Linked DNA regions of Kluyveromyces lactis. The protein of the gene in region 2 binds, or shares a complex with, the protein of the main gene of each other region. Links are inferred from orthologs where the notes say so. Each region holds a gene or a part of one and is shown on either strand. Other genes may lie near its edges.

Region 1 (4,916 bases), about 540 kb from region 2:
TGAACAAGTATTGTGAATTGGATATTGCTCTTGTTATTCTATTGTAGAGTGAATTCAATCTTAATAGTGTAGGGCAGCACACATCGTTTGAAACAAAAGATGTTTGTCCACTGGTTGGCTGTATTGTTCGCATACATTACCGTTGCAAATGCAGCTGCAATTGCAGAAGCGGAATTACATGAAAGTGCCGTGTCTGATAACGATATACTAGATGCCAGTCATTCTTTACCTGATTTGGTTCACATGAATGCCGTGCCTTCAGATTGGAAGACCAGCGGAGGTTTGGTTTTGGAGGAAGGGAGACTTCGTTTAACACCAAGTGCATCCAGTCAAAGTTCGATTTGGCACAAGACTGATTATCAAATTAAGGACTCCTTCACCATAGAATGGACTTTCAGAAGTGTTGATTTTATAGGGAAATCTGAAGGTGGGTTGTCCTTCTGGTTAGTGGAGGGTAAAAGTGCAGGAGGAACTTCTTTATTCGGTGGACCAGAGGCGTTTGATGGGCTTCAAATTTTGGTGGATTCCAATGGGCCCGTGGGTAGTTCTGTTCGTGGTATCTTGAACGACGGGTCTAAGAAATTGACTGAAAAAAATGTGTACGATCATTCTTTTGCCTATTGTTTGTTAGCCTATCAGGATACTACTATTCCAACCACTATCAGATTGAGTTATGATAGGAAGAACAATAACCTATTGAAACTTCAAGTCGATAATAGGGTGTGTTTCCAAACCAGACAAATTCAATTCCCACAAAATGCGAAAATGAAGATGGGTATCACTGCAAAGAATGATGCTAACAAGGAATCATTTGAAGTCCTGAAGGTACATACTCATAACGGTCTTACTAAAGAAGTTACAATTCCAAATGTTAACCCTATGGAACAGCCTAGATTGGTAACAAAGATTATCAACAAGGATACTGGTAAAGAAGACGTTGTAGAAACAGATTTCATGAAAATGAAGGGTTTAGCAAATAAGGTGGACAACTACGAACTTTACAAGAAATTGGATAAGATTGAGGGCAAGATATTAGCCAATGACATCAGCGTGATAAACGGTAAATTAATTGGCATCTTGGAAAATCAAGCAGCGCACTTGAGAAAGCTAGAATATCTATCAACTACTTTAGAAGTTATTGTGGCTTCAATGGGTAAAGAAGGTGAAGTAAATACAGAATCCTTCAAGGACCTCTTTGTTATGAATGATAAGTTGGAGCAATTACTTCAGGATCAAGCAAAGATTAGAGAGGCCACCAAACAAAGCATGGAAAATGCTGGAAATGGCGTTTCAGTTGACGAAATCGTCAAGAGACTCTTAATGTGGATTTTGCCTCTAATACTAATCGTTTTAGTTATGGCATACTACACTTTCAAAATTCGTCAAGACATTGTTAAAGTTAAATTGTTATAATGAATTATCCTCTATATATATCTGCAGCTTTATTGCATAGCTTTCTACTAGCAGTATTTAGTTCGATATAGATGAAGTTGCATTATTATTCTAAGGTTTTTCAACATAAGGTGGCCTAAACCCTGACACATTGGAGTATCCCAAAAAATTTGGATTCGGTACTCGCTTAACGGTACGCTTTTCATCTACATTCTTCGTTTCGTTTGGCACAATGCTCACATCAACATGGTTCAAAACTTGCTGTAGATATTGCTCTTTGTAATACGAAAGTTGATCCTCCGTAAGGCCAACAGGTGCACCGGCCTTATACTGCCAAAATTTAGTCCAACGGGTGTTTCTTAACTTTCGGACATGGCCAAGAGCTGTATTCAAATGAACAACATCATGGGATCGTTCTAAATCTTTTATTTGGTTTGGCGTCAATAGTTTTAACCTTGCAGGAAGTCTCGCCTTATTATATATCGGTAACCCTCCAGCACTGAAAGTTGTAGGTAACTCATCATTTGTTGTAACTGGTAGCTGCGTAAATTTCCATCCAGGAATTTGAGCCAACACATCTGTCTCCTCCGGGGGAACATAGTTAGCTTTACGTCCTCTACCAAAGTTATGAGATTCTACCGGGTGGGTGTGCGTTCCAATCGGGGAATCTAGAACATTGTGTTGTTGAGCAGCGGCGAAGGAATTCTTATAGTGGTATTTTGGAATTTTGTAAATAGTACTCAACTCGATTGCTCCATGTATAGTTTGACCCGATATGATTGCAGTTTGCTCACCATGAGCAATATTACTTAAGAACTCTTTACGTGCTTCTAAAGGCGGTAGTTCCGTAATGGTTGAAAACGGGTCTTCGAATTGCGGTTGTGATGTGGACATAACGCCCGCTTGTGCTTGCTTCGATTCAGGAAGCTCAGGTGGACCTAAAGAATGTGCTGTTCTAGTCCTTGGATCGATCGAACATACCATGTCGAGAAGTTTTTGAGAGAGTGCGTATACTCTGTGCTGCGCTTGGAAGCCCTGTTCTTTGGATAGTTGTTCCCAGTAATCATCTATCACTCTTGATCCGGATGCTAGTATAGCAGCTCCAAAGACAAGAAAAGCAGATCTAGCTGTGATATATGTTGCAGCAGTAGCACCTTCAGGTAAAAGTTTATACTGGGTCAAAAATTCGATAATATCATGTTTTGCATTAATTGGGTAAAGGTCTGGATGCTGAGCCAAAAACTCTTGTTGTTCCACATCTAGATTCAAGACTCTAATCAAATCCCGTACTAAGACGTACAAATTTTCCGAATTATTGTTTTCCGCACATGGATAAGTGAAAGTAGGAAACAAGTAATGCCTTTCTCCATGTAACCGTCCTTGTTTATCAACCTTCGTTTCCCCATTTTGATCACCCTTTCCCAAAACATAAGAGTCATTGTTGTCTGATAACCTTTCCTTAATGGTGAACGAAGGTAGTACAAGTTGCTTTGTTGGTGGCTTGTCAAGTCTGCCGGAGAGTAATTCAGGGTTATTGAGTATTGATAATGTGGTTTTCAAAATAAAAAGCTCATGGTTCTTTATGACATATTCTGGCACCGGATTCACCTGAGCAGTGACAGATGAGTTAGTACTGGAGTCCATTTTTCCAGCATGTGAAGATAAACAAATAAACGTATCCTGTTCAACAGCCAGAAAGGTCTCGTGGTGTTCCAAATATAATTAGGATGGATGAAAGTGTCGCAGCTTATACCGTCTATTGAATTCTTTCACGATGTACTTTGAAAGATATGCATATGTTTACGTTTATGTTAATGACAGGCATTCGATAGTTAGATTACATGTTGAAAAGACCCAATTTCAAAACAATGGAAAATACATAAAGATACTGATCACGTGATGACCAGCAACTGACACAGCAAATACCCGACAGTTAGGTTACATACAAACTAACGTATCTAAAATATAGGAATAAAACGGGATTCTTAGATAATAGTGCCGGTGGCTTCAGATGTTGGTAGTGTCATTCATTGAGCCAACTTAAGATTTGCAAGAAGTTCTTCTGAGGCCTTGATATAATTCCTGGCGTAATCATCAGTAAAATCTTTTGATGGAAGGATCGGGTTAGCATTCTTGTCAAACATGGCGCCTGAATGAGTTTCCAATTCTGGGGCAACTAGCAAGGGGCCTAACTTTTCAGCGTATTGCTCTGCAGTCTGATTTGTCATACCTATGAACCATTCTACCACTCTTGACTTCCAAGTGTCTTTACCAAGGTAATTATCTCTAATATTTGTCCTGATGAGCCCCGGATTCAACCCATAAAAATTGACAGTAGCAAACCTATTCTTAAAGTCCAAAACTAGAGCTTCATTACCGGCTACTGTTTTCATATGTGTGGAAATAGCTCCGTAAGATTCTTCTGAATTCAAATCTCTATAATCTCCCATATAGTTATCACCGGGGAAACCCATTACAAATACGCGAGGTTTTTTCTCACCATGTTCCTTCAATCTGGGTACCAAATGATTCATCATCACTAGTCGGCTGATATAACTGACGGCCAAATCTTCTTCTAGACCTTCGCTAGTCTCACGTCTCGCTGGAGGAGCCAAAACTCCCGTAGTGAAGATAAGAAGATCCAACTTTTCAGCAGGTAACAATTCCGCAACTCTGGATGCCTCTGACACCAAACCTAGGTCAGCCTGGATAAATTCAATACCTTCAACATTTTCGTCTCTGAACGTTCTACCAACAACGATGACTTTAGCACCCTTTTGTGCCAACACTCTTGCCAACTCACGGCCAATACCGCCCGTTCCTCCTACGATAGCAACATATTTATTATCTAAATTGAGTTCAATCAATTTTTGAGCCTTCGTATATACAATATCAGGATTGGTCTTCATGGTTGTTTGATGTAAGATTAGTCCGATGCAATTACAATAGATAGTTCCCCCTTGACTCTTGGTAATATTACTGTGCAAGCTGCATATCTGCAATCAACGTTGCACTAAGCTACCTTAAATAGTATCTATATATGATTTCTTCGACTTATTAGTTACGGCGGTGATCTTTTATCGACAATATGTCTGACTAATGACATTGCGATTCGTCCTGAAGATTGTGAACTGGTTTGGCTGTCAACCATCACCCCTATGAGGGGCCGGCCCCTTGAAAAACCGCCTCCATCACGTGACTGAAAGATCTCATGTAAAACTATCTTGAACCACCAATCACCGCGTATTGCATTGGTCCTACGGAGAGTTTGCTTCAAAGTAATCTCGTTCAAACTTCGTTTCCCAGATGACTGTATTCATCAACATTTGACAACACTGCGCAGCGACTGAATGTCTTGCTTGGTTAACCTGGCTCTACAGTCAGCGACAATTCCATTTTCAACAGTATGCTCAGAAGGGTGCACACAAATTGCACTGAAACAAAGTAAAGTTAGAAACATAAATAAAAAATATAAATATCAAATATAAATACGGTAAAAAGAAGGGGCGATTAATTTTGCCGTT
Region 2 (5,537 bases):
ATCAGATTAGGGATTTTATTGATTTGTTGGAAGGGGATGGTGGAAATGATAAAAGAGAAAATGTCATTAAACAACTTGAATTTTTCGTCCCCGTTATACAAATCTAAAACCTGCTGGCATATGTCATCATCGTCATTTTCTTCAGTGAAAACACCAGTTAATACTGACTTAAAATGTGCTCTATTTGGGTAACCAAGAGAAAGAAGTTTAGCCAAGACGTCCGCACCGTATGTCTGACATTTTTCAACATTCATGGTGTACTCTGCATATGTCAAGACGCTATTCTCTTGAATATGATCTTTCGGATCAGCGAAGCTCAACGCTAGCATTATGATTAACAAACAAGTTACTGTTGATTCAATTTTCAACATATGTGTAATATTAGATAGAATAAAAATCAAATCCTTCTTGAAGTTTAAAACCCTGCGCTCAAAAATAAACTCATCTCTATGAATGAAAACCATCCAAAGAGTATCTGCAATATATTTTTCCATGTGGTAATTATTAGCCATTACCTGTGAATTCTGTTCGTTAAATGAAAGATTTCTCAAGATCATTGAAATTGTTGTCAATTGGTCAACAATCAACAAGTGCGGATCCTCTGCTCCAGAACGGTGACACTTGCTAAAGATGGATCCGACTTCCGTTTTGACTTTAGTTAGAGAATCCATATATGAAATGAAATGTAGCTTTTTGATTTCATCGAGATTTTCGTCTTTCAACAAATCAGGTAAGTATTCAATATCATTCTCATCTTCGTCCTTCTCCAGTGAGACTTCAGGTAATGTCGCATCGACTTCTATTTCTGGTTCCGTCGGTGTGATCGGAAGTTGAGAAAAATCTATACCAGTTAAAGAGTCTACCTTTACTGTATATTCAGATTGATCTTCTCCAGATTTTTTGACGCTTTCCTTGAAAATTTTATCAATATGAGTATCAGAGGAATCCGAATGTTTGGGAGGCGTATTAATCCACTGCTGTTCATCATATTCAGTATAAGACCCTGATATCCTTGAATAATCCTTCTTCAATAGTTTATGCAGTAACTGACACGCCAAGATACAGAGGTTATCCAAAAGCTCACGACATTTATCGAGTGGAATTGATAAAGTGTTATCGGAGCTAATAACTAATAATGAGTTTAGTGCGGTATTGACTTCCGGGTTATTAGAACTTTGTAACTGCATTGCAATTGCATTGATATTGACGACACCAAACTCCGGCGCAAAGAGGAAGATGGGTTTAAAATTATGTATCATCTCACCAAGAGCTGAAATCTTTGAAATATCATACCCATTTTGCGTGGTGATGGCTCTTGTGGTGGGACTATAATGCCTGGCCATCGTTCTCTTATACACCTTCGGAAGCTTCTTAATTTGCTCTTCACGACGTTTCAAAATAATTTCCTGTTGTTTCTTCAATTGTTGTTCGAATATGAGCTTTTGCTGCTGCTGTTGTTGCTCCGCTTCTTGTTGTTGACGCTTTTGCAGCTCTTCCATTTGTTTTCTTTCCTGTTCTAGTTCTTTCTTAGTCTTCTTCTTCACTCTTGGCTTCTTAGGCTGTTTAGGTTTTGCTTGTTTTGGGACGGTGTTCTTTGTTTTGCCTTGAGCCTTAGGAATCTGTTGTTGCTTCATTTGTAAATCCGGTTGTATTACGTTTTGACCCTGCATAAAAGACTGATTTTGCACCTGCGGTTGGAACTGCGGTGTATTCGTTCTAATGTTTCTTATAATGTCCTGAAGTAATTGCTGTAACATGATACGATTGGTTTGAGTTTCTTTAATACCTTCTGGGGTCATCAAGTACTTTTCGTACGGTAGTAAATATCTGTAGTACGTCTTTGCCAATTCTTCTCCAGCATTTGGTCCTTGTATATTCATCTTTTTCGCCAATATGTGCCATTGTTGTGCTTTAGTGACGTTTTCTCCTCCGTTAAGCTTCTGAACATACATGTATAAGATGAAGAAACTGACCTGGGTACCATTAATCATTTGAGCAATATCTGCGGGTTGATTCTTTCTCCTGCAATGTTCCAAAAATGATTTTCTAAATAGTTCAAACTGTTTGGTGTTTAATTCCTGACCGACTTTCCGTTGAATGGCTGGATCTAGATTTTGTAGAACGTTTCTTTGGTTATTAGACTGATTCTGTACTTGAGGCGCATGTTGTTGCATTCTCGCCTGTGCTTGCGCTTGTGCTTGTATGTGCGCTTGAGCTTGGGCTTGAGCTTGAGCCTGTGCTTGTGCTTGTGCTTGGGCTTGAGCTTGAGCTTGTGCTTGAGCCTGTGCCTGCGCTTGAGCCTGTGCTTGTTGCTGCTGTTGTCTTAGTTTCTGCTGCTGTAATTGGTTGAATGCCTGCTGTTGTTGCAACATCTGTAGCTTTTGTTGCTGTTGCTGTTGCCTCTGTTGATGCGCAGCAATTATTGCGGCTCTATCCATATACTGAGGGCTCTGTCTACTAGCACTCGCCTGAGCTAAAGACTCATCGGCCATTGTAGGGGATCCACTTGGCACATTTTGCGGCGTTCCACGCTGCGATAACATCTGCTGTAAAGAAGTAGTGCCGGCGGGAGACTGCGTCGGTGCTACATTGGCTGTATTCATAGGAATTGGTCCTGCGGCTGGAGAAAACATGGATTGTGGAGAGATAGAGACTCCACCGTTCTTCATCGACGGAGGTGAATTGACAGTTGAGAATGAATTTCTAGCCAATATAGCCTGGGGCGTTACGCCTGCGTTAACATCTTCCATCGGCCCTAAATTACTATCAGGTATACCTTGCTGGTTGGGTGCGCCTGAGTTATCAAGGAAGGAAAGGTACTCATCACCGTTCGAACCTCCTTGACCGAAAAGCTGGCCATCGCCAGAATTCATTGGATCACTCTCGTCCGGGAACAAAAACTGATCGTCCATCCGTATGTACCAATAAAGTTACCGTTTGACCCTTGATATCAGGGGAGAGAAATCACGCCTAAATAAAACCTAAAACAAGGGAATTATATTCATTCTGAAAGTAGTGATAGTCAAGTGTCAATTGAATTCATTGAATACAATTTCGAGTTTCCTTTCGTTGTTTTGTTTTTGGAAAGACAAGAAAATTCCAGGTCACGTGATTTTGTCAATTATTCTATATCCGGGTAATACATTCGATCACGTGTATAACTTACCCGGCCGCGGCCGGGTAAGTAAAATATATTTCCCATTCTGCTTTTCTTTTTCAAGCTCATCGCTCTTTTTTTTTTGTTTGGAAAATTTTCATTTCGAAGCCAATAAAGAGAGATGAGCTTTCTGACCAGTGAATATATTGTATATTGTGTTATGTGCACAGCGATATTTCAATTAATACTTGTCTGTATTATCTTGAGTTTTGTTCATTCATTCCGAAGTTAGTGTGTGTTGAAGAGTCCAGATCAAAGAGATTTTACGGTAGCGAGGAAACTTTATTGATCAGAGAATTAAATAATGGCTCCTATTGAATATCTTTTGTTCGAAGAACCTACCGGGTATGGTATCTTCAAAGTGAAATTGCAACAGGATGATATCGGATCTCGTTTGAAGGAAGTCCAGCAACAGATCAATGATTTCGGCTCTTTCACTAAGTTAGTTGAGTTGGTTTCTTTTGCTCCTTTCAAAGGTGCTGCTCAAGCTTTGGAAAATGCTAATGATATTTCTGAAGGTTTAGTCTCTGAACATTTGAAAGCTTTGTTGGATTTAAATTTACCAAAGGGTTCTTCTAAGAAGACTGTTACTTTGGCTATTTCTGATAAGAACTTAGGTCCATCCATTAAAGAAGTTTTTCCATTTGTTGATTGTATTTCTAATGAGTTAGCTCAGGATTTGATTCGTGGTGTTAGATTACACGGTGACAAATTATTGAAAGATTTACAACCTGGTGATTTGGAAAGAGCTCAACTTGGTTTGGGTCATGCTTACTCTCGTGCTAAGGTTAAGTTCTCTGTTCAGAAAAACGATAACCATATCATTCAAGCCATTGCTCTCTTGGATCAATTGGATAAGGATATCAACACTTTTGCCATGAGAGTGAAGGAATGGTACGGTTGGCATTTCCCAGAGTTGGCAAAGTTAGTCCCAGACAATTACAAGTTTGCTAAACTCGTTCTATTCATTAAGGATAAGGCATCTTTGAACGAAGAATCCTTGCACGATTTATCGGAAATTTTGGATAACGATGCTGGTATCAGTGAAAGAGTGATCGATAACGCTCGTATCTCTATGGGTCAAGATCTTTCTGAAACTGATATGGAAAACGTTACCATCTTCGCTAAGAGAGTTGTCTCCCTTGTTGAATACAGGAAACAATTATACGATTACCTATGTGAGAAGATGCACACTGTGGCTCCAAACTTGTCCGAATTGATCGGTGAAGTTATCGGTGCTAGATTGATCTCTCATTCTGGTTCTTTGACCAATCTTTCTAAGCAAGCTGCCTCTACTGTCCAAATCTTGGGTGCTGAAAAGGCATTGTTCAGAGCTTTGAAGACTAAAGGTAACACACCAAAGTATGGTTTGATTTACCACAGTGGTTTCATCGCTAAAGCTAGTGCTAAGAACAAGGGTAGAATCTCTAGATATTTGGCTAACAAATGTTCTATGGCTTCTAGAATCGATAATTACTCCGATGAACCATCTAACGTTTTCGGTCAAGTGCTAAAGAAACAAGTTGAACAAAGATTGGAATTCTATGCTTCTGGTACCCCAACTTTGAAGAATGAATCTGCTATCAAGGAAGCCATCGAATTGTACAATAAAGATAAGCCAGCTCACGAAGAAGAAGTGGATACGACTGAAGTCTCCAAGAAGAGAAAGCTAGAAGAATCTAACGATGAAGAAGACTCTGAACAAGAAGAGAAGAAGGAAAAGAAGTCTAAGAAGGACAAGAAGGACAAGAAGGACAAGAAGGAAAAGAAGGAAAAGAAGGAAAAGAAAGAGAAGAAAGAGAAGAAGGATAAGAAGGAAAAGAAGAGTAAGAAAAATAAGGATTAGGTTGTGTCAACTTTTCAATCATTTTCCGAAGATTGATCGACTTTATTATTATTTTTTTTCATCATATTTCAGTTTAAACTCGTCACTTTACATTTAACTTTTCACTTTTACATTATTAAGTCATTCCGGTTTCTCATAATTATAAAGCTCTTAATTGCACCTTTAACGCTCCTACTTGTATCCTAAGACAATAAGGAAAACCTCGTGTCTACAAACATGCAACTCATCATTTAACCATTGTTACATATTACATCTGTATATCACCCAAATCATATTTTAATTAGAATACTAGACAATTATCGTCACTAAAAAACAGAACGGGTGTAATCCCAATATTTGATTAAAGACACGTTAAATATATAACCCGCCTTGAGTTGTGGTACATTCGTCAAGTTTCCAAAGCTTTAAGCATTCCGATACATAGTACTCTGTCTGTGACGGGTACGAGCAAAGTAATTTCGACATTTCATCTACTAAAGCATCAACGGTAGGGAAATTATATTTCTCAAAACCAATTGGACCCTCAGAAGGCAC
Region 3 (5,559 bases), on a different chromosome or scaffold from region 2:
TAATGAAGATTAACATCATGTTAAGACCTTTCTTTGGTTCTACCTCTTTGATGTCAAGTAAAGTCTGATTCCATGTTTCTCTTCTGCACAGTTAGAATATTACAGACCAGTAAGCTTCTCTGAATTGTTTACGTTCAGTGTGGTTATCATTCCTTGAGAGTGCCTGTTGATAGCTTAGTGATCTATCTATTTTGGTCTGTGCTATCCGTGGTACACTTTGTAACGCCTGGATTGAGGAAATGTAGAAACGTCCTTTTTGTTTCATACGGTCAAAATTGGAGTCCGGACTCTCTTTAATCATTAAATTGACTATTATATGAAAATCCATTTGTGGATCAGGTTCATCCGTTATAAAGTAGTCTTTATCTGATACTTGAACCACTTATATCCTATCCTCCACTCCTCCTACCAAGAATCAGTAGTTGTCGGTTGTAAGATTGTTTGGATGACCATTGTAGTTTTTGGGATTTTTCTAGTCCCAGAATTTATTCCGTTGTTTGAAGGATTTATTCCTGTCATCGATTCTCCTATCAGTGTTTTCGAGTGTTCTCTTTTGTTTAGTCATTTTGCTAAACCTCAATTCCTTCTTTAATTCTAGGATTATCTCAGTGGTTTGATTTGTAGGTGGTTTGCTGATGGGATGTATGCTATCAAAACCATGGTAAATCATAATATGTCTGTACACTTTGTCGGCCAGGATAGTATCCAAGTGAGGTAAATTGCATTTTTTGAAAGCTTCAACTAAGTCTGTTAAAGTTTTTATTAAACCCTTCACCTTGTAACGAGGATTTACTTCGAAGAATTTGACTCTATGCTCCAGTAAATAAGGATTGTATTTCTTATGGATATAGTCCATAGCAATGGTGGGAATGTCGGCATAATCCTCACGGAATTTCTCTCGATGAGCTTCCAACCATTCTGGGTTTTCTGGTAGAGATACTACTCTTTCATATACGTCTTGCCACCATGCGACTTGATCTGAATTGATACCGTCGAATAGAGTTGTATTTGAGAAGTCAAACTTATCTTCATACCCACAATAAGTGAAGTATTTATAAATATCAAACAACCATTTTTCTAAGAAGTCTTTTGTTTTGACCTCTCTGATATGAACATCATATTTTGCCTTTTCACACGGGAAAGGACTAAAGATGTTATCTTTTAGGTACCGTGTAATACTCGAACTATATTCATCTGTTACTTCCTTGATTGAGTAATTGTTGAACAGCTTTTTGTTGTTTGAACCTGTGGCGCTACCATATTGAGTCCCGGAAGCTCTCTGTTCAGTGTTACCCTGACATGATGATATTCCTTCGCTCATATTATCTGTATCTGACATCAATTGACTATTTATTATACACCGTTGTGTGGTCTGTATTCCTCCCTCTCCCCACCATCATCTTTCCATTATATAATGCCTAATCATCCTATGAGTTGGCATAAGATTGATTCTTCTCTTCTATTTGTACTTCTCTATCTCGTATATGATAAAAGAGTTGTCACGTAATAGTTCTTTCTATCTCGTATACTTTCGTATAGATGGATCTTAACACTTAACATATCACGTGCACAAAGGTATCATCTATTACCCGGACACAAATGGTCTTCCTTAGGAAAGATGTTTCGTCCTGTTTTAACAATGTTAAAATAAACAATTTCAAGTAAACAGACATTAAGTCAGGTTTGGGCCAGTTCAATCTAAAGCATCGATCAATTTTCGCGTCATTGCTACTACTTTTCAGCTTGTCATCACTCATCAGTTATTCTGACTCCACTTCTTTGTTGACAAGTGAAGGAAAGCAATTCGCCTGAGGAAGATTATAGTTTATACACGGATTTTTTAATGGCAGATGACGAACAACGGGACTCTGTTCTTGAGTCTGCACAAACTCAGAGCTCAGTAGAGAATACCCAAAACACGTCAGAACAACCTGGTTTGATAGACCATACCGAGGATGTAGATATGGGAGGAATTGATGATAACTTGGACATGGACGTTGAACCTAATCTACCTGATGATTTTGGTAACGAATTCTCAGAATCTTTGCCGCAAGACTTCCCTGAAGAGTTCGGCGATGCACCATTGGCCGAAAACCTCCCTGAAGGAATAAACGATAAGCTTTTATCGAATCTGGATAATGAGAACGGTGACGCGGACGATGCAGATCTATTTGAGGAAGAACCCGAGGAACAAAACCCTGCTAATGAAGCATCCGAATCTGATTTGTTGAAATCCCCATCTAAAGAAGACGATACTACCGCAGCAGGTAATGAGGAACAAGAACAAGAACAAGAACAAGAACAGGACGAACAAATGGATAAAGAGAATGACGAAATCGCGTTGCCAGAAACTAAAAAGGAAAGCGATTCGAACGGCGAGGGGAACAATGACCCTGTTGGAAATATAGAAACTGAACAGAGCGAGGTAGAACCTGCACAGAACGAACTGGAAACTGCCAATGACAAACAAGAGCCAGCACCAGAACCAGAATCATTTACTGAAAACCCCAAATTACCAGACGTGAAGGACTTAGGGCAGCCCGATTCTGGTATAGATGCTCCAGTACATACTACAACAGAGACAACAGTTGATGAAGAAATTGATAAAGAGCACAATACTGAAGCAGAAGCAGAACCTGAAGTAGATAGTATTCTTGAACAAGAATCGAGATCAGCTTCTCCTGAATCAAATATAACCGTAAAGCAAGAAAGTAATACTGCTGATCCAAAATTATTTGTACCGCAATCCCATGAAATTGTAATCCCTTCATACTCGAAGTGGTTTAATTTGACCAAAGTTCATGAAATCGAAGTGAAATCTTTACCGGAATTCTTCACTAATAGAATACCTTCAAAGACACCCCAGATGTACGTCAAATATCGTAACTTCATGGTAAACTCTTATAGACTAAATCCAAATGAATACTTCACAGTCACTGCAGCTAGAAGAAACCTTTGTGGAGACGCGGGCGCCCTCTTCAGACTACATAAATTCTTAACCAAATGGGGATTGATCAACTATCAAGTAAATGCTACCAAGAAACCTAAAATGGTTGAACCCCCATTCACTGGTGAATATGAGACGAGATACGATGCTCCGCGTGGATTATTCCCATTCCAATCTTATAAGCCGGCCCTACAACTTCCTGATATGACCCGCTTAAAAAAGATAATGACTCAGTTAGACACCAAACCCTCGGAACCATCATCTTTGAAAAGGACTAGTGATGAAATCTCCAGTGAGCACACTCAAGATTTGTCAAACGGGGGATCCAGTCACGTTAATGGTATCACTAACAAAACGGCTTCGGGTTCTGTGGGACCAGAGAACTACGGCCTGAAGGATGAAAAGGAGTCTCCAGTGAATGCCGACCTTGAGAGAAACGATCGCAAACCCAAAAGACCAAAGATTTCTCAACTGATTGACAAAGATTGGACCCAAGAAGAAATCTATAAACTTATCGAACTTATTAAAGAGCATGGCACCGATTGGTTTAACATTGCCAAAACTCTAGGAACAAAGACTCCGGAGCAATGTATTTTAAGGTTTTTACAATTGCCTATTGAAGATGCATTTTTGATGGATGAAAAAGATCTCGGACTCTTGAAGTTTGGTTCTCATATTCCTTTCAATAAATCTGACAACCCCGTAATGAGTACGTTGGCATTTTTAATAGGGTTAGTCGATCCTAACATTGTTCAGCATTTGACTAAAAGGGCCATTTCTCTTCATGACATTAATGTTAATACGGGTGCTAACACGGAAGCAAAAGACGCAGAAGAAAGGCAGGAAGAACAAAAAGAAGAACAAACAGAGGAATCAAAAGAAGAACAAAAAGAAGAAATAAAAACTGACGCCAGGGAAATTGAGCATACAGAAACGGGAGCTGAAAAATCTGAACCTGCAAATTCAAATGCCGCAGATCACTCCACAGCAACTGAAGGAACTGCTCCAGCAGCAGAACAAGTAGCAAATTCAGATGTAACTGTTGACACTTCAAATGAGAAAAATGCAAATACACCAGAGAATGAAGAAAAAGAAGCAACAGAAGTAAGAGCTGAAAAAACAGGAGAAGAAGGGCTACAAAAAGCGGAAGAAAAGAATAAAGAGGAAGGTAGTCAAGAAGAAGCGATTCCAGTGGAAGAACCTCATCAAGAAGAATCTTTAGAGAATGAAGCATTATCAAACAAGGAAACACCATCGGAAAAACAAGAGCTGCCAGAAGAACAAGCAGTAACGGTCACAAATGCTGAATCTGATGCTAGAATAACAGTGAAGGACGGCACAGAAGTCGCTCTAGCTACCTTGGGGCTACGCTCTCATGTATTCGCTACCAACCAAGAAAAATTGATGAATAGGACGACAAATGATTTAATCAATACTCAACTAACAAAAGTCGATTTGAAGTTGAAGGCTCTTGATACCATGGAAAAATCCTTGGAACTAGAGCGCAAGGCTGTGCATAGGAAGCAAGAAGATGTTTTCATTCAAAGGCTAAGCTTCACCAAGTATGCCAACTCTCTTATGGGAAAATTTGAATCTTTACTGAAGCAAATTCCGGAATCTCCAGAAATCAAACAGCAATTACACGAATTACGTACCATAATTGCTGATCCACCAAAGACAAGTATCACATCCCAATCGGGTAATCTACAAGATTCTGATGATCTAGACTCCGCCAACAAACCAATATCGATTGAGTCACCGCAGTTATATCGTTATTGGTCAGGTTAATAATATAGACAATATTCATGTATTATATAGCCTCGTAACATTATATTAATTTAAACTATTGAAACAACACAAAAAGTCAAGCCTCTCCTTGTCCAAATGCAACATCTTCGTTGGAGTAAATCCTACTTGTTTTTTCCTTTGTACCTTGTCTTCAGGAATTATGTCCGTATGCTATATTGTCTTTAAAATATGAAAATATTGGAAACCTTCAAAAAAAATAGCTTTAACTAAACACGAATACGATATTTAATATTCCCAATATCAGAACAATTGAATGATACTGGTATTCGTTGTAAAGGTCGGATTTGCATTATTAAGGACCCAGTAACAAGTTCTGCGATGAATTTGTCTACATATGAGCATGCGTTGTCATTGTGGAAAGAAGCTGGCTTCAGCAGTATACAATCGTTACTTGATGATAGCATAGCTAAGATAAAGGATTTAGAAACTTCATCCTTGGAATCAAGAAAAACGTTAGCCAGTGAGACCAAGAAGTACAAGAAATTGCCAGATGATGAGAAACCTAGCCAATCTTTGAAATTAGTGAAAGAATACCAGAAGGAGATTGATTCGTTGACTACCAGATCAACGTTCTCCGAAAAGGTTGTTATCGAATTATATGAGAAGTTAATTGAACAACCGGACCCAACAGGGATCCTAGAGTCTATTGTAGAGGAACTGAAGAAAGATGGCACAAATGTCGATGATATCAAAGCTGAAAACCAAAAATTGGCGGCAATTGTTAGCAAGTGTGCCGATTATGACACTTTAAAGAAAAGATTATCGGATCTTGAACAAAATTCGGCTAAGACATTATCCAATAG
Region 4 (3,864 bases), on a different chromosome or scaffold from region 2:
CATTCTATATATAATAGCCCAATACACATCAATACTCGTTAATCATGTCTCAAGGTAGAAAGGCTGCTGAAAGATTGCAAAACAAGACAATTTTCATTACCGGTGCTTCTGCAGGTATTGGTCAAGCCACAGCATTGGAATATCTAGATGCTGCTAACGGTAATGTCAAATTGATCTTAGCAGCAAGAAGGTTGGCTAAGTTGGAAGAATTGAAGGAAAAAATCAATGCTGAATACCCACAAGCTAAAGTATATATCGGTCAATTGGACGTCACTGAAACTGAGAAGATTCAACCTTTCATTGATAACTTGCCGGAAGAATTCAAGGATATCGATATTTTGATTAACAATGCCGGTAAAGCTTTGGGATCTGATGTTGTCGGTACCATCAGTAGCGAGGACATCAAAGGTATGATAGATACTAACGTTGTTGCCCTTATCAACGTTACCCAAGCTGTTTTGCCTATTTTCAAAGCAAAGAATTCCGGTGACATCGTTAACTTAGGTTCTGTTGCCGGTAGAGATGCATATCCAACTGGTTCTATCTATTGTGCTTCGAAGCATGCTGTCAGAGCGTTCACTCAGTCTTTGAGAAAAGAATTAATCAATACTGGTATTAGGGTCATTGAGATTGCTCCAGGTAATGTCGAAACTGAGTTCTCTCTAGTTAGATACAAGGGTGATGCCGATCGTGCTAAACAGGTTTACAAAGGTACTACTCCTCTATATGCAGATGACATTGCTGACTTGATCGTTTATGCCACTTCAAGAAAACCTAATACTGTCATCGCTGATGTTTTGGTATTTGCTTCCAACCAAGCATCTCCTTACCACATTTACCGTGGCGAATAGATAATCACGTCAGAAGATGTGTTCGTGTAACACATTTTTAAAAAAACTTATACAGGTATACAATTAGTAACACATGTAGCACATGTAATACAACAGTTTTGATAACTGGATATGGACTCTTTTGCTGTAAAGATTAAGCCCAAACGCCAGCCTTTTTTCTTTTGAGCATTTATTAAATTCAAAAAAATGCTTCCAACCAGAGTCGAACTGATGATCTCCACATTACTAGTGTGGCGCCTTACCAACTTGGCCATAGAAGCTTATTGTTGTCATAAAAAGAAAAAGGAGAAATTTATGCCCTTCCTATTTTATTATGGCATCAGAGACCACAAGTCACGTGTAATGGTCTCCGTTGGCTGTATATCTTCGGCAGTAATAATACACCAGGGACCTCTTGATCTGATTACAAGCAAACAGTAGATTAGGCTCAGTATTCCTTTATATGCTTTGTCATGTGTCGGTTACGCAAAGCCAATGCTAACCACCTATTATATTGGCATGGCCTGTTCCACCAACTGTCTAATATGATTTCTATTCGTTTTAGTTTGAACATTACGAAGATTATCAGCCCTACATGGAAAAGGATTGAAATTTCAAATATCTATTATTATGTTAGGTATGATTACATTTTTAATTAGTGTTTAGTTAGCTATATGTTTTATAGTTTATGTAGTGTAGTCTCCGTGATCTTCTTCCAAAAAAAAACACTATACAGGTGTAGATGGTGGTATCAAGGGTGGAGTTGCAAACTCTTCATCAAATTCACTAAAGTCCACCTCTTCTTGTTCGTTTGTCATTTCTTTCCACTTCGCGATCACTGCATCTTCCAACTCCAATGAGTCCCTAAATATGATTGAATCTTCTGTGTTGTATATTCTAGCGTTGGCAAAAATCAAATGGAAATCTTCGACAACCTGTTTCAAAGAATCATAAACATTCAGATCAATGTGTTTCATGACATTTTCAAATGCGGCAGGATATTTGATCAACAAATAATAGTCTGGATAGAGTCGTTTGGATGGTTTCACTAGGAAAATATCTGAAAGTCTTCTATCATCGGCATTTCTATAGTATACAGCATAGTCGTACAATTCACGAGCTTTTTGACTAATTTCTTGTCTTTCTTTCAAAGTTTTTGTAGCATTATCTGCTGAACGCAGATAGTTTCTGCCATTCTTACGAACGGCAGTTGAAGTTTTCTTCCTACCCTTGCTGGTCTTCTTTGCAGTCTTAATTGAAGTTTTACCGGCAATAACACCAGATGGAGCAGAGTCTCCATTTGATTCTTGCGGATCTAAAACAGGAGTATTTTCCGTTCCTGTAGCTGGACCGTCAAGTTCTTTGTTTGTCTCAAGTTTTGCCCTTTTAGCATTATTTTCAGCGGCTCTCCTTCTCCTTCTCTTTGGGCCAGCGTCACCTTCTTCATCTTCATTTTCACTGACTTCAAATTGCCTTAACCATTGTTCTTCAGATAATTCATCAGAGTAGTGCGCAGTTCTTCTCTCTCTATTACCTCTTCCTCCAACAAACACGTTCTGCTTTTCCTCTTCTGCAAGCTTTGCTTCAATGTCAACATTGTAACATTCAGGAAGCTCTGAGTTCTCCATAAGTCTGTTTGTTATACCGTTTTCCATCTGTGTTCTGATCCTTTGAGCATCCAACTCCTGGAATACTTTTATTTCATTTTCGTTTCTCGCCAAGATTTCATTGAGTTCGTTATCATCCAACTGCTCTTCTTCTTCAATGCCTAACTCACGTCTTTTCTTTTCCTCTTCCTCAGCTTCTAGTAACGATCTCAATAATGCCTCTTGTTCTTCAGCTGTTGATTTGTTATCAAACTTACCTGCTTGAATAACTTTTCCGTCAATGTCCAATTTGGCATGCGCCTTATCAAGAATTGCTTCTTCCACTGAATTGTCTGTAATTAATCTAAGAATACGCACTTCATTCTTTTGACCGATTCTATGAGCTCTGTCTTGGGCCTGTAAATCCTGGTGAGGATTCCAATCAGTATCAAAAATGATAACGGTATCTGCAGTTTGCAAATTTAAACCTAAACCACCAGCTCTTGTAGATAAAAGGAAACAGAAATAATCAGAGTTTGGGGCATTGAAAGTGTTTAATAATGCAGTACGATCATCAGATTTAGTATGACCGTCTAATCTTAAGTATTTCATGTCAAGATATCTCAAGAAATCTTCCATGATATCCATAACTTGCGTCATTTGGAAGAAAATTAGAACTCTATGACCGGTAGCCTTGAACTTTGGTAAAATACGTTCTAGCAGTTCGAATTTACCGGCACTTCTCCAAATGGTATCGTTCGTTTCCCTTGCTGGATTGATTTGATCTTCCACTTCTTCGAATACGAACGGATGATTACAAATCTTCCTGAGTTGCATGATTTGATTGTTAAACCCACGAGAACTAGAGAACTTCTGGTTACTTGAATCATCAAAAATGAATAGCCTACGATGCTTCAACATCTGTTGGTATAATTTGTGTTGTAATGCACTCATCTTACATTTCAAAACCTTTTCTACTTTATCAGGAAGATCTTTTTCAACATCTTTCTTTAAACGACGAAGCAAGAAAGGTCTGAGTACCTTATGTAATCTTCTAATGACCAATAAAGTTTCTTCTTCGCTCAATGCTATCTTGTCTTGACCACCAGTGTTTGCAAACGGTGTATTGAACCATTCATCGAAAGATTTCACAGAATTGAAAATTTTTGGCAAAACGAAGTTTAAAAGGGCCCATAGTTCTGGCAAATTATTCTGTAAAGGGGTACCAGTCAAAATCAAACGATAATCAGAATGATAATATGTGTTCAAAGTTAAAGAAAGCTTAGATTGAGCGTTCTTCATTCTGTGACCCTCATCAATAATTGTGTGAACCCATTTTATCTTAGAAAGTAATGGACGCTCTTTGATAATATATTCGAAGGTTGTTAACACTACATCAAATTCACGATTTTTGATTAACGCTTGTTTAGGTTTACGTTCCATTGGAG
Region 5 (5,733 bases), on a different chromosome or scaffold from region 2:
AATAGGGCAAAAAACGAATTGAATATATGAGAAAAGGTTGAAAGCAGTTAGTCTGCTAATGCTAATATCATGGAAGTCAAAAAGAGGATTTTAAACTTCTGCTGTTGCTGTTGCATCTTGCAAGAAGCGTGCCTCCATGCGTTTGACCTTAATGTAATCCCAGATACTCTTGATTATTATGAACCCACCTAACAGTATAACGAATATGGCCAATGCCGGTGTGTGCCGCGTCTTTTCCATTACTCCATGAGAAAGGTCCGATTCGAATTCATCCTGAGTAGAAGTACTTGTATATAGACGAATCTCTTCAAACGAATCTGGATTATCAAATGTAAACCTGTTCAATTCATTATCCTTTCCTATCTTTCCTGAAACATCGTTCGGTATCATGGAATATCCGTATCCAATGAAAGTTACCCCAAGTCCAAACCTGGACCCTTGCCTAGCTGCATGTGATGTATGTAAGATATAGGTCAACAAGAACCCGACAAATTGGAAACTGAAGCTGACCACAACGTTCCATAAGAAATTGAATATATTCCCAACTGGAAGGCCGTCGATGCAAATTTCGTTGTAATACAATCCAACGCCATCGTCGTCTATACCGTAATATGGTGGAGCCATATCAGCCGCAGCCTCGTCATACGTAGGAGGCTTATCCTGTTCCCCATTCCCATTGATACCGTTCCTTTCAGGTTTCGCCATAAGATTACTGAATACACCATCAGAACTCGCCCCGACTTGTAACCTCATCGCTTGCTCGCTTGAACTGCCGCCTCTAAACAGTCTATCTAATATATTGAACTTTCGGGCAACAAAGTTCAAATGTTGTTGGAACTGCCCATTCATCTGGTGCAGTCTAGAAGACGACGAAGTTGTCCCTGTTTCCACATCATCAGCTCTTGAAGATTCGGTTTCTGGCTGTGTTTGCAGCTGCGACTGCGATTGTGAAGGAGACAAAGTCACTGAGGAAGATCCACCGACTTCATCTTGGCTCCTGCCAACGCCACTTCCGGCTACGAATTCCGAATGCTCAGACATACTCGCCGCGTAGATAATCTCAGTAAACTCTACTACCCTCGAGTAACACTCAAATATGGCTGCTTTGATGAGTTTGTGGCCTCTGCATACCAAGTTTCTTAAAAGGGTTGGTTCGTTCAAATGTTAACGTTTCCATTACTAAATATATTTTTTGGTTTTGAGCTGTTTATGAAATTTAGAGGCTTACACCATAAAGAATGAAACAGGCACACATAAATATCGATATACGTAGAGGTGCGTGTCAAGACCCTCGAGTAAGCCCGCGATCATCGGCGTTCGGTCTCTCATAGCTATCTTCAGTGCTCTTTCTTCTAGCTTATTTATCATAGTATTTCTTAAAATTGTTACAGGTGGTACCACATAAATACATATGTACATATATATATATATAGCGAATTACTCATTGAATGGTTGTCTTCGCCTTTGGTAGCTTTATAGTGACGAGTAAAGATTTCCCAACGTCGTGCATAATAACTCTGCATGCTGATGAGTTTCTTACTTCCTGTTGGAATTCTTGTTTTGGAGTTGCTTTAGCTCTGTCTAAATATTCGACTCTAGTTGATGGCTGGAACGATAACGTACTTGGACCAACATCAATACCTCCAGGCAAAGTTGTTGTTGGAAGTAGTTGACGGCACGTTTTTGGGATATCCCCAAGATCAGGAAGTTCTGCATCATGGGGTAGTTGCGGTGTACTTCCGGACGATGGGTGATTTTCTGTATTGCCTCTTCTATTGAAACGAACTTGTCTACGTTTCCTTCTAGTGTCTCTGTCCTTATCCTTAACCAAACGTTCTAGTTCTGCGGGAGATATCTGTAATAAGTTAGGTGTGTATAAAAACGTATCCTTTTGTGGTCTCATTACGTCTGCTAAGGTGAGTACAGGCAAGAATCTTGTTCTGATATCGTCTTCTTCAACGGGGCTACCGTCAAATTTGTAACCAACCATATATAATGACTTGTGATACATGTGAACTTGTTCTCTAATGCAATGTGCAATTGCTGTTAAGAATTCACCCGGAAGGGATAGTTCTTCGCATAAACACTCCGCGAACGATTCTGGACAATTATCTGGATTTGACACATCCCATTCAACGGTATCTATCAATTGATGTTGTCCAACGACAATATCTAGGTTGATTTTTATTCTGAAATCATCGCCCCCGAACCTCTGCACATTTTCAAAAGGATTTGGAGTATATTCTTGAAGTTGTTCTTTGATACTATTCACAATCTGTTGATACATCTCCGTGGTGACTTTGAGCCTATAATCCTTCAGCGTTGTTTTCACAAATTCGTTGATTGACAGTAGCGTGTCTGATCTGTTCCATACGAATGTGTCCCTCAAAGTAAATTTATCCTTTTCTGCATCAAACTCTAATCTAACAGGTACTAGTTCCTCCCCTGTTTGATTCATTGTCCATTCATATATTTCGTCCAAGTGCATTTCATAAGTGTCATCGACTTGAATCCTTGTGAGATCGTTACTGAAGCCATTTCCATATCCAGAATAACCGTCACCCCATATACTCTTAGATTTATGTCCTTGAGTTGTGTTGGTAATGGATTGCATTCGACTGTTCCTCAATTCTTTGTAATAATCAAGATCTTGCTGTAATCTCAATATTACCTCCCTCTGACTGAATCCGAATTTGGAAATAGGTTCCAATCCATTAGTGTCCGCCAACAAGTTGTCCTTATCCAACAAATCCCGTTCAATAACATGTTCATATAATCTTGTATCAAAACTCACAGGCTCGTTATCAGCTCTTTCTTTCTCTGACCATAACCTAGTATGAGGTAATGGAGTCTCAGGTGGGTCTTGAAGAATAGTTTGGAATTTGGGAATATCAGGAAGTTGTTTCTGAAACTTCTGAAGCACTTGCTGTAGTATTGCAGCTTGTGATGGTTGAGGTGGCTGTGGTACTGAAACTGGGACTTGTTGTTGTTGTTGTCGTTGTGGTGGTTGTCGTTGTGGTGGTTGTGGTGGTTGTGATTGTGGCTGTTGTGACGAAGGAACCATCGATTGATTACTGTTCATAACTGGTATATTCTGAGTTATAGGTTGACCTCCAATCATTTGTTGTGGATTCCCCATTTGTTGCTGAAGTGGTATACGAGGTTTCTGAGGTTGAGGCTGTTGAAGCTGCGGTTGGTTAGGAGGAATAATGTTGCGTGGCGGGGATTGATGTTGTTGCTGCTGAACAGGTTGTTGTGGTGGTACAGGCTGTTGTTGCTGTTGCTGTTGCTGTCTATGTTGTTGCTGTAATTTGACTTCAAGCTGAGTGATCATCAGAAGAGCGTTCTGGTTATTTCTCGCAATAGCCTGTTGTTTGATGGACTGAAGCCATTGCATTTGCAATGCCGGTGATAGTTGTGCAATTTGTGGAGGAAGATTCAAAGAAGTTCGTTGTTGAGATTGGGGAGGAGACTGCTGCTGTTGCTGTTGAACCTGCTGTTGTTGCAATTGCTGGGCTTGTTGCACCTGCTGAGCTCGTTGCTCCTGTTGCTGCTGCGTCTGAGATCTCTGCATTTGTTGTTGTTTGAGCTTCATTAGCTGCGCACGCTGAGCAGCATCCAATTGGTTCATATTACCGGGAGAAGAAACCTGTTCTTGCTGCATCTGCTGTGCTTGTCTTTGTCTCTGCAATAACAACTGTTGATGTTTCTGCTGAATCATCTGCAACTGCGCTGGCGTCAAGGATTGTAGGATATGTTGTGGAACCTGCGAAAGCGAAAAGGAAGGCGTCCCTATGTTACTCAAAGGGTTCGCATTGCCAGGATTCATTGGTGGGTTTGACATTCTCCTTTCAGCTTATATAGAGAAACAAAACTGCAACTAGTGTTTTCAATTGCAGACAGAAAGGGAAACACAGAAGGAAACTAGTATATTCTTTCTTGCGATAATTCTCAACCAAATGCTGTCAAATATACCCTTTCTGAAGCCTACCTGAAAGGTGTTCAGTTCCCTTAAAAACAAGAATTTCTTGTTGATCTTTAAAGTTTGTTGTTGGTCTTGTTCTTTCGTTCTTTGAATTCATGAAATTCACGAAATTTTGATTAACGATTAAGAGAAGTACGAGATGGAACAACCTAATGAAAAATTAAGGCAAGCAAACAGGATACAGCGGGTTATCCGCATATAGTTGGTTATCATAGTGAACTTAAGCAATTGGCTACAATGATTGTTAGCATATATGTCAATGATAGGTGCCAGGAAACGCTATTCCAGTACTCAACAGTAGCAGAGTGCCCTACTTTTCGGCAACTAGTTGTTAAACTACAAGGTAAAGACGAATCATGGGAGTCTAAATACTGCAATGAGATAAATTCTGAGTTGAAGCTTTGCAGACACGTTTCTTTGCTGAATCCAGTTGTTTATTGGTGTTTAATTTCGTGTTCAGAGTCCACAGTTTCCGTGGTATCTTTGTTAGAAGAGATAGATTTACTGTTGTTACAATATTTCGATAAGGACCAATTAACGAAGCAGAAGATAAATAATAACCTCGATCGATTATCGATGCTTTTCCATTGTATCCTTGATGCTGGGCAACCGGTGATAACAGACTCGAACCGTTTAAAGGCAATGGTCCCAAGTAGAAACGATTTATCGAAATTGTTGAAGACGACAACCAATACAATTACCAAGACCTTACAACAACCGGACGGGTCAATGTTTAAGAATGGTCCGGAAAAATCAAGGTTTAGTGGCAGTAGATATCCATCTTCATCCGCTTCATCCGTTTCCTCGTTCCACGTTGGGTCTCCTGGCTCCTCGTTAGTTGATCATTCCGTTGATGAATCTGGTGTCCCATGGAGAATGAGCGGCATCAACTATGCTAATAACGAAATATTCATCGATATGAGTGAGGAAATTAACGCTATTGTGGAAAAGGGGAAACTGTTAACCGGACATATCAAGGGTTGTATCGACTTAAACAACCATCTCAGCGGACAGCCATTGGTTGAGATGAAACTTGGGCTCTTAGACCACAAGCTTAGCCACTTAAACACGACTTTCCATAGATGCATCTTAGAGGATAAGGCGAACAGCATAAATGATTTAATCGCTGGGAAATTCACTAAGCTAACGTTTGTACCTCCTGATGGACGTACTAGGCTCTGTCAATATACCCTACCGTTGGTGAAAAGAGACTCAAACCTCGGCATTATAGACGTAAATTTACAAAGCAGTTTAGGTAAAAGACTTGACGAATTTGAGGTCCGCGTCACCGTTGGAATGAGCACGACGGTGAAAGAAATAGAAAACATGAGCATGACTATCAGGATGAATAGAAATTTTAAGGGAATAGTACGTGTCATGAGAAACACTCACGGCGGTGTCGAAACAAATATGACTCGTGGCGAAGTTAATTGGCATTTGGACAAAAACATGGTATGCGGTTCAATGGCTGTACTACGTTGTATAGCGGAACTGGAACCCGAACTCGCCTCCAATGACCAAACATCTAGTAGATCTTCGGTTGTTCAACCACCTAGTTCACACTTAACATCCTTACTACAACCTAGTTTCATCAAATGTTACTACGAACACAAATCCCAGCTTCCCTCCGGAATCAAACTTCAATCAATCGACGTAGTTAATGGAGGTCCAAAAAAACCGTTCAAAGGTGTTAAGTACCTCACAAAGACTGGTTCGCTAGAGTATAGGTGATGATACGTTAAATGGTT
Region 6 (3,787 bases), on a different chromosome or scaffold from region 2:
AAATTTAAACACTCATACAATGGAACTATTCCCCCAGTCCAATCGATTGATCTTCTATCTAATATTATAACGATGAGAATACCAATTAGAATCAGTGCTAATCTAAATATACTCACGAAGCACTAGTACGTTTAACGTAATTGACATACTTGTATATATTTATATTTATTTGTCCATATGAGAGGATTTGATAATGGCAATGGCAATGGCAATTGCCATTGTCATATCATGATGGCACGGACGGAAAAAAAATTCAGGAAACTTGAGAATTAAAGGGAATATCGAAGACAGATAAACATCTGGTGATGTCTGTGGAAGCCTATCAAGGACCGCAATCGTTCTATGCTTCATTGCTGCATTGCTGCATACGGTGCTGATACCGGAATGGAGCAAGTATTATTATAGGTAACTACAGAGAGCGTTAAAATGAGAGCGTTTTATCTATATATTATGTATGTACACACAGTGTACACACAATGTACGCACAGTGTTCGTTGAAGCTACCATAATTGGAACATTCTATTCATTAATAGATACATCTTGACCAGCATATCCTGTTGTCTTTCCTGAGCTGAAGCAGTGTTTGAAAGAAATGGGTTTGGAGGAGGGTCCATGATAGGAGGTTTTGCTGCTAGATTTCCTTGATTTATCTGAGATATTGTATGTAAGTTACAGTGTATTCTTTTCGTATATTGGATTAGTATTTGTTCCATTTGTTCTTTGGACAGCGACGCGAGTGTCGGTACCTGTCTGCTTTCGTACATGGTTCTTGTTTCTTGGGATTTTTTGATCAACATCGAGTTGATATGAAGAAGCACTTGTATTTTCCATTGTAGCTTCTGCTTTGGTGAGACTCCTGAGTCTGATTTCAGGTCTATTGCTGGGTTTAGATCTGTCATGCTGATCTAGGGTGGGTGCAGGGTACTTTTCCGTAGTCGTCAGTCAGTCGATCTTTTTATCTTTGAACTTCCTTCACTGTCAAAGTAGTAAGACGAATTAAAACGTGATTTGAATTATTTTCAAGCGGAACGAAAAAACCACTAAGTATCCAGTTCATAATAGCGACTAAAGGCACTCCAAGATCACAAAAATCCCTGGGCTGCCATATCTATGTACACTAGACACTCGTGCTCTATACGGTCACCTATTCATAGGACATAAGTTTCTAAGTTTAAAACACATTCAGTCACGTGTGTAACACGTGACTGATAAAAAAGAAACAGCAAGAGTTTCTCAGCCACTTTGATGACGAATGCTCTTCCTCCCTTACTGCCACCCCTTCAACGCCTCAAAATGCCACCATTACATAACTATAACTATCGATTCACATTATTCCCCCACATTATGAAATCCCAAACAATGTTTTCAGTTACAATAGAAAAAGCTCAGCCAACAAATTCTTAGCCTTAGGCCACAACGAAGGACGCATAAACTGAATTCCTACCTAATTCCATAGCCAGACGAAAAACGTACCATCTCTCAGTTTCTCTCAGTCAAGTTACCGCATATTTTCGTGGGTTTAAGTCACAAGACGGACCAGTTCCCAGCGTAGGAACCTCACCCATTTCTTTTCGGCCCTGCTGGCAGTACGTCCGATCAGAAAATCCACCATAAAACGGTTACCTTTCAACTGGAAACTCTTTATTACCGAAACTGTTCCTTGCCATATTAGTTCTTTTCTTTTCGAATTGCTTTACTAAATCCGCAGCCATCTTAAAATACGTAACTCTCTGCAAAATAAAGTATTAAATATATATACAAATATGTCCATCCATTTTGTTGATAGACGTTAATGCCAACTAGTAAATCTTGTTAATCTTGTGATGTTTGATACTTCATCTAGTCGATAACTTAAGTAGTGGCAAGGTATTAAGAGGAATCCAGGCTTAAGCCACCCGCTGTTTATTCTCTTTGCCTTGTGGTTTTTTTCAGGTTTTTTTCTGGTATTTCTCTTTTCGAATCATTTTGCATATCAAAAGTTTCTCTAAGGTTTCTCAAGGTTCTATCTCATCGTCCTTTGATAGTATTTAGTTAACAAGCTTTCTATTTGTTTGTCTGTGTGTGGATTTTCGTTTTCAGCTGAAAGTTCCCTACTCCAAGACATGGAGTGCTTACTTTGGATCCCGTGGTTCATCAAAAGGGTATATTTGGGTGGTGTAAATCAACGCAATGTCTTCACACTGGCTTTGAATTTTTGTTTGAATTTCTCACCAATCTTTATATGGTTGTTTATGTTCAAGAATGCAGGTGTCATACCTACCAATTGGCGACCACCCATTTGGGGTAGCGTCGCTTATTATTGTGATGCGTATATTTTTGGTGATTACTGGCATTCTCTTGATACCAGGTTGGAATTCGTGGTGTCTCTCGTGAGCAGTAGTATCATCGGTATCTTATTTGCTGTGGTGCCATTGTTCATCTGGTACTATGTTTATTATACCAAGAAATTGAGGCATAACCTGTTCGATGAGACAGACGTCTTGCTACAATACCCTTTGAATTATATCGGTTCATCTCAATTCCGACCTAGCAGGATGAGAAACGTGTTACCCTTTCTATTCTTGTTCTTTACATTTGTGATGTTGAATTTCGATCACCTTTTATCCAGTCAGGATCCGTCGAATTTCACCAAGTTCAAGGACTTATTGGCTTGGGTGATGTACGTGATTCTGCATCTCACTGGGCCCATTCTTACTGGTGTGTATTTGTACGTTTTCCACATCCCAGGTACGTTGAAATGCTTCTCATTCGCATTAGGTTTACAAAATATCGTTGGGCTCTTCACTCACTTTTTATTACCAATGGCTCCACCATGGTTCATACATATGTACGGTGCCCATGATACGGCTCATTTGAACTACAGTCAACCGGGTTACGCTGCTGGGTTGACTAGGGTCGACATGCATCTTGGAACTCATCTCAATTCGAATGGGTTCCATCTCTCGCCAATCGTGTTCGGTGCCGTGCCGTCACTACATTCGGCTATGGCTGTACAATGCTTCTTCTTCCTTTTGTTCAGGTCTACACAAACGAAATCTGTGCCGGAATCGATCGCTACGGATGCTGCTCCTGTCATTCTTCAAAAGGATGAAGATGATGACTATGAGATGGATGAAGAACAAGATGAAGAAGAACAAGGTTATACGAATGTTAAGGTCCAACCTAACAAATCCATTATTCCCTTCGAGTTCGAGGATGACGATTTTGCTGATGATAGTGACAGCGTCGAAAGTAAACTCGTTTCACATATTAATAGCATAACTTTACAAACAACTAACGGTGGGGATGACGACTTGGAAGCACGCGCAACGACTTCTGACTCGGATTCAGAACTAAATACGTTGGCTGTTGCTAAAATCCTTGCCAAACAGCAGGTTTTGCCAGTTCATATTCTAGAGTCCAAATGGCTCTACATTTTCCATAAAGGTCTGTTACCAAAATTTTTGGGTACGATTTTCGTATGCTTACAATGGTGGTCAACCCAATATTTGGATCACCATTTCAGATACGATTTATTCGTCGGTGCCGTTTATGCTGTAATCTCATACATCTTGATCAACAAATACGTCTTGCAACCAAAAGTTATCAAGCCTTGGCTAATAACCAGGGCTGATCCTACCTTGGACAAAATGAAAGAGTCAAAAACTATGGGTATGAGAGTTTTTGAAAACACTAAGATCGAATGGTTTTTCGATCCCTTGGCATGATATAGTTGAACAACAAAAATCAACAAACCTTCGGATACGGTATATCAAACGTCTCGTACGTTTGCATTGATTCATTTTTT

The links.
Region 1: SWI1 (region 2) and SWP82 share a complex: the UniProt entries of both Saccharomyces cerevisiae proteins name them as parts of the SWI/SNF global transcription activator complex. The link is inferred for Kluyveromyces lactis from reciprocal best matches to the Saccharomyces cerevisiae genes SWI1 and SWP82.
Region 3: the proteins of SWI1 (region 2) and SWI3 are in contact, whole or in part, in a cryo-EM structure (PDB 7C4J), measured with the Saccharomyces cerevisiae proteins. The link is inferred for Kluyveromyces lactis from reciprocal best matches to the Saccharomyces cerevisiae genes SWI1 and SWI3. Residues at the interface, in NP_015309.1 of Saccharomyces cerevisiae: Arg670, Leu671, Lys672, His673, Tyr674, Asn675, Gly676, Tyr677, Pro694, Phe696, Leu697, Glu701, Leu702, Gly703, Gly720, Glu721, Thr724, His792, Asp793, Met795, Val796, Asp797, Ile799, Phe800, Val803, Asn804, Glu1197, Lys1267, Ala1270, Ser1271; in NP_012359.1 of Saccharomyces cerevisiae: Tyr310, Ile322, Gln325, Ser326, Leu327, Pro328, Arg380, Lys383, Phe384, Lys387, Trp388, Pro419, Arg420, Gly421, Leu422, Phe425, Leu598, Pro599, Phe600, Ser601, Glu604, Asn605, Lys702, Glu705, Lys706, Glu709, Leu710, Lys713, Glu716, Arg717.
Region 4: the proteins of SWI1 (region 2) and SNF2 are in contact, whole or in part, in a cryo-EM structure (PDB 7C4J), measured with the Saccharomyces cerevisiae proteins. The link is inferred for Kluyveromyces lactis from reciprocal best matches to the Saccharomyces cerevisiae genes SWI1 and SNF2. Residues at the interface, in NP_015309.1 of Saccharomyces cerevisiae: Ser659, Ile660, Val661, Arg662, Asn663, Tyr664, Lys665, Pro666, Leu667, Ile668, Asn669, Arg670, Leu671, Lys672, His673, Tyr674, Tyr677, Ile695, Phe696, Asn718, Leu719, Gly720, Asn723, Leu726, Asn727, Leu730, Val731, Ser733, Ala734, Asp735; in NP_014933.3 of Saccharomyces cerevisiae: Leu427, Leu430, Ile438, Lys439, Val440, Val441, Asp442, Ile443, Asp444, Asp445, Pro446, Val450, Asp451, Ser452, Phe453, Thr454, His474, Ala475, Phe477, Thr478, Ile479, Glu480, Pro481, His491, Glu553, Trp554, His555, Gln556, Asn557, Ser558.
Region 5: the proteins of SWI1 (region 2) and SNF5 are in contact, whole or in part, in a cryo-EM structure (PDB 7C4J), measured with the Saccharomyces cerevisiae proteins. The link is inferred for Kluyveromyces lactis from reciprocal best matches to the Saccharomyces cerevisiae genes SWI1 and SNF5. Residues at the interface, in NP_015309.1 of Saccharomyces cerevisiae: Arg662, Tyr664, Pro666, Leu667, Asn669, His673, Gly676, Tyr677, Asp678, Tyr681, Ile682, Ile685, Lys688, Ile689, Ser691, Asn692, Lys693, Pro694, Ile695, Phe696, Leu697, Phe698, Ala699, Pro700, Glu701, Leu702, Gly703, Ala704, Ile705, Asn706; in NP_009848.4 of Saccharomyces cerevisiae: Pro316, Pro317, Glu318, Ile342, Ile343, Asp346, Asn349, Glu356, Thr357, Phe368, Ser369, Asn370, Tyr373, Ile374, Leu377, Trp378, Thr380, Leu381, Tyr384, Gln385, Leu387, Lys388, Arg391, Ile395, Ile407, Trp408, Tyr412, Asn417, Ile419, Thr420.
Region 6: SWI1 (region 2) and SNF11 share a complex: the UniProt entries of both Saccharomyces cerevisiae proteins name them as parts of the SWI/SNF global transcription activator complex. The link is inferred for Kluyveromyces lactis from reciprocal best matches to the Saccharomyces cerevisiae genes SWI1 and SNF11.

Annotation. Positions count from the first base shown.
Region 1 is NC_006040.1:502,407-507,322, forward strand, and holds SWP82 (Swp82p), read right to left. Parts: upstream 3,037-4,916; coding exon 1,504-3,036; downstream 1-1,503. Other genes in the region: KLLA0_D05863g (uncharacterized protein), read left to right, coding at 100-1,413; KLLA0_D05907g (putative short-chain dehydrogenase/reductase), read right to left, coding at 3,420-4,301. UniProt on the Saccharomyces cerevisiae protein: Involved in transcriptional activation. Component of the SWI/SNF complex, an ATP-dependent chromatin remodeling complex, which is required for the positive and negative regulation of gene expression of a large number of genes.
Region 2 is NC_006040.1:1,041,616-1,047,152, forward strand, and holds the start of SWI1 (Swi1p), read right to left. Parts: upstream 2,913-5,537; coding exon 1-2,912. Other genes in the region: snoRNP complex protein NOP56, read left to right, coding at 3,462-5,003; PBA1 (Pba1p), read right to left, coding at 5,355-5,537. UniProt on the Saccharomyces cerevisiae protein: Involved in transcriptional activation. Component of the SWI/SNF complex, an ATP-dependent chromatin remodeling complex, which is required for the positive and negative regulation of gene expression of a large number of genes.
Region 3 is NC_006037.1:579,573-585,131, reverse strand, and holds SWI3 (Swi3p), read left to right. Parts: upstream 1-1,843; coding exon 1,844-4,735; downstream 4,736-5,559. Other genes in the region: KLLA0_A06446g (uncharacterized protein), read right to left, coding at 473-1,339; CCAAT displacement transcription factor COY1, read left to right, coding at 5,075-5,559. UniProt on the Saccharomyces cerevisiae protein: Involved in transcriptional activation. Component of the SWI/SNF complex, an ATP-dependent chromatin-remodeling complex, which is required for the positive and negative regulation of gene expression of a large number of genes.
Region 4 is NC_006038.1:744,504-748,367, reverse strand, and holds the end of SNF2 (SWI/SNF catalytic subunit SNF2), read right to left. Parts: coding exon 1,559-3,864; downstream 1-1,558. Other genes in the region: ORA1 (oxidoreductase), read left to right, coding at 45-851. UniProt on the Saccharomyces cerevisiae protein: Involved in transcriptional activation. Catalytic component of the SWI/SNF complex, an ATP-dependent chromatin-remodeling complex, which is required for the positive and negative regulation of gene expression of a large number of genes.
Region 5 is NC_006041.1:1,664,881-1,670,613, forward strand, and holds SNF5 (Snf5p), read right to left. Parts: upstream 3,845-5,733; coding exon 1,442-3,844; downstream 1-1,441. Other genes in the region: BSD2 (Bsd2p), read right to left, coding at 91-1,041; APM3 (Apm3p), read left to right, coding at 4,223-5,716. UniProt on the Saccharomyces cerevisiae protein: Involved in transcriptional activation. Component of the SWI/SNF complex, an ATP-dependent chromatin-remodeling complex, which is required for the positive and negative regulation of gene expression of a large number of genes.
Region 6 is NC_006041.1:899,251-903,037, forward strand, and holds SNF11 (Snf11p), read right to left. Parts: upstream 900-3,787; coding exon 501-899; downstream 1-500. Other genes in the region: IPT1 (inositolphosphotransferase), read left to right, coding at 2,103-3,707. UniProt on the Saccharomyces cerevisiae protein: Involved in transcriptional activation. Component of the SWI/SNF complex, an ATP-dependent chromatin remodeling complex, which is required for the positive and negative regulation of gene expression of a large number of genes.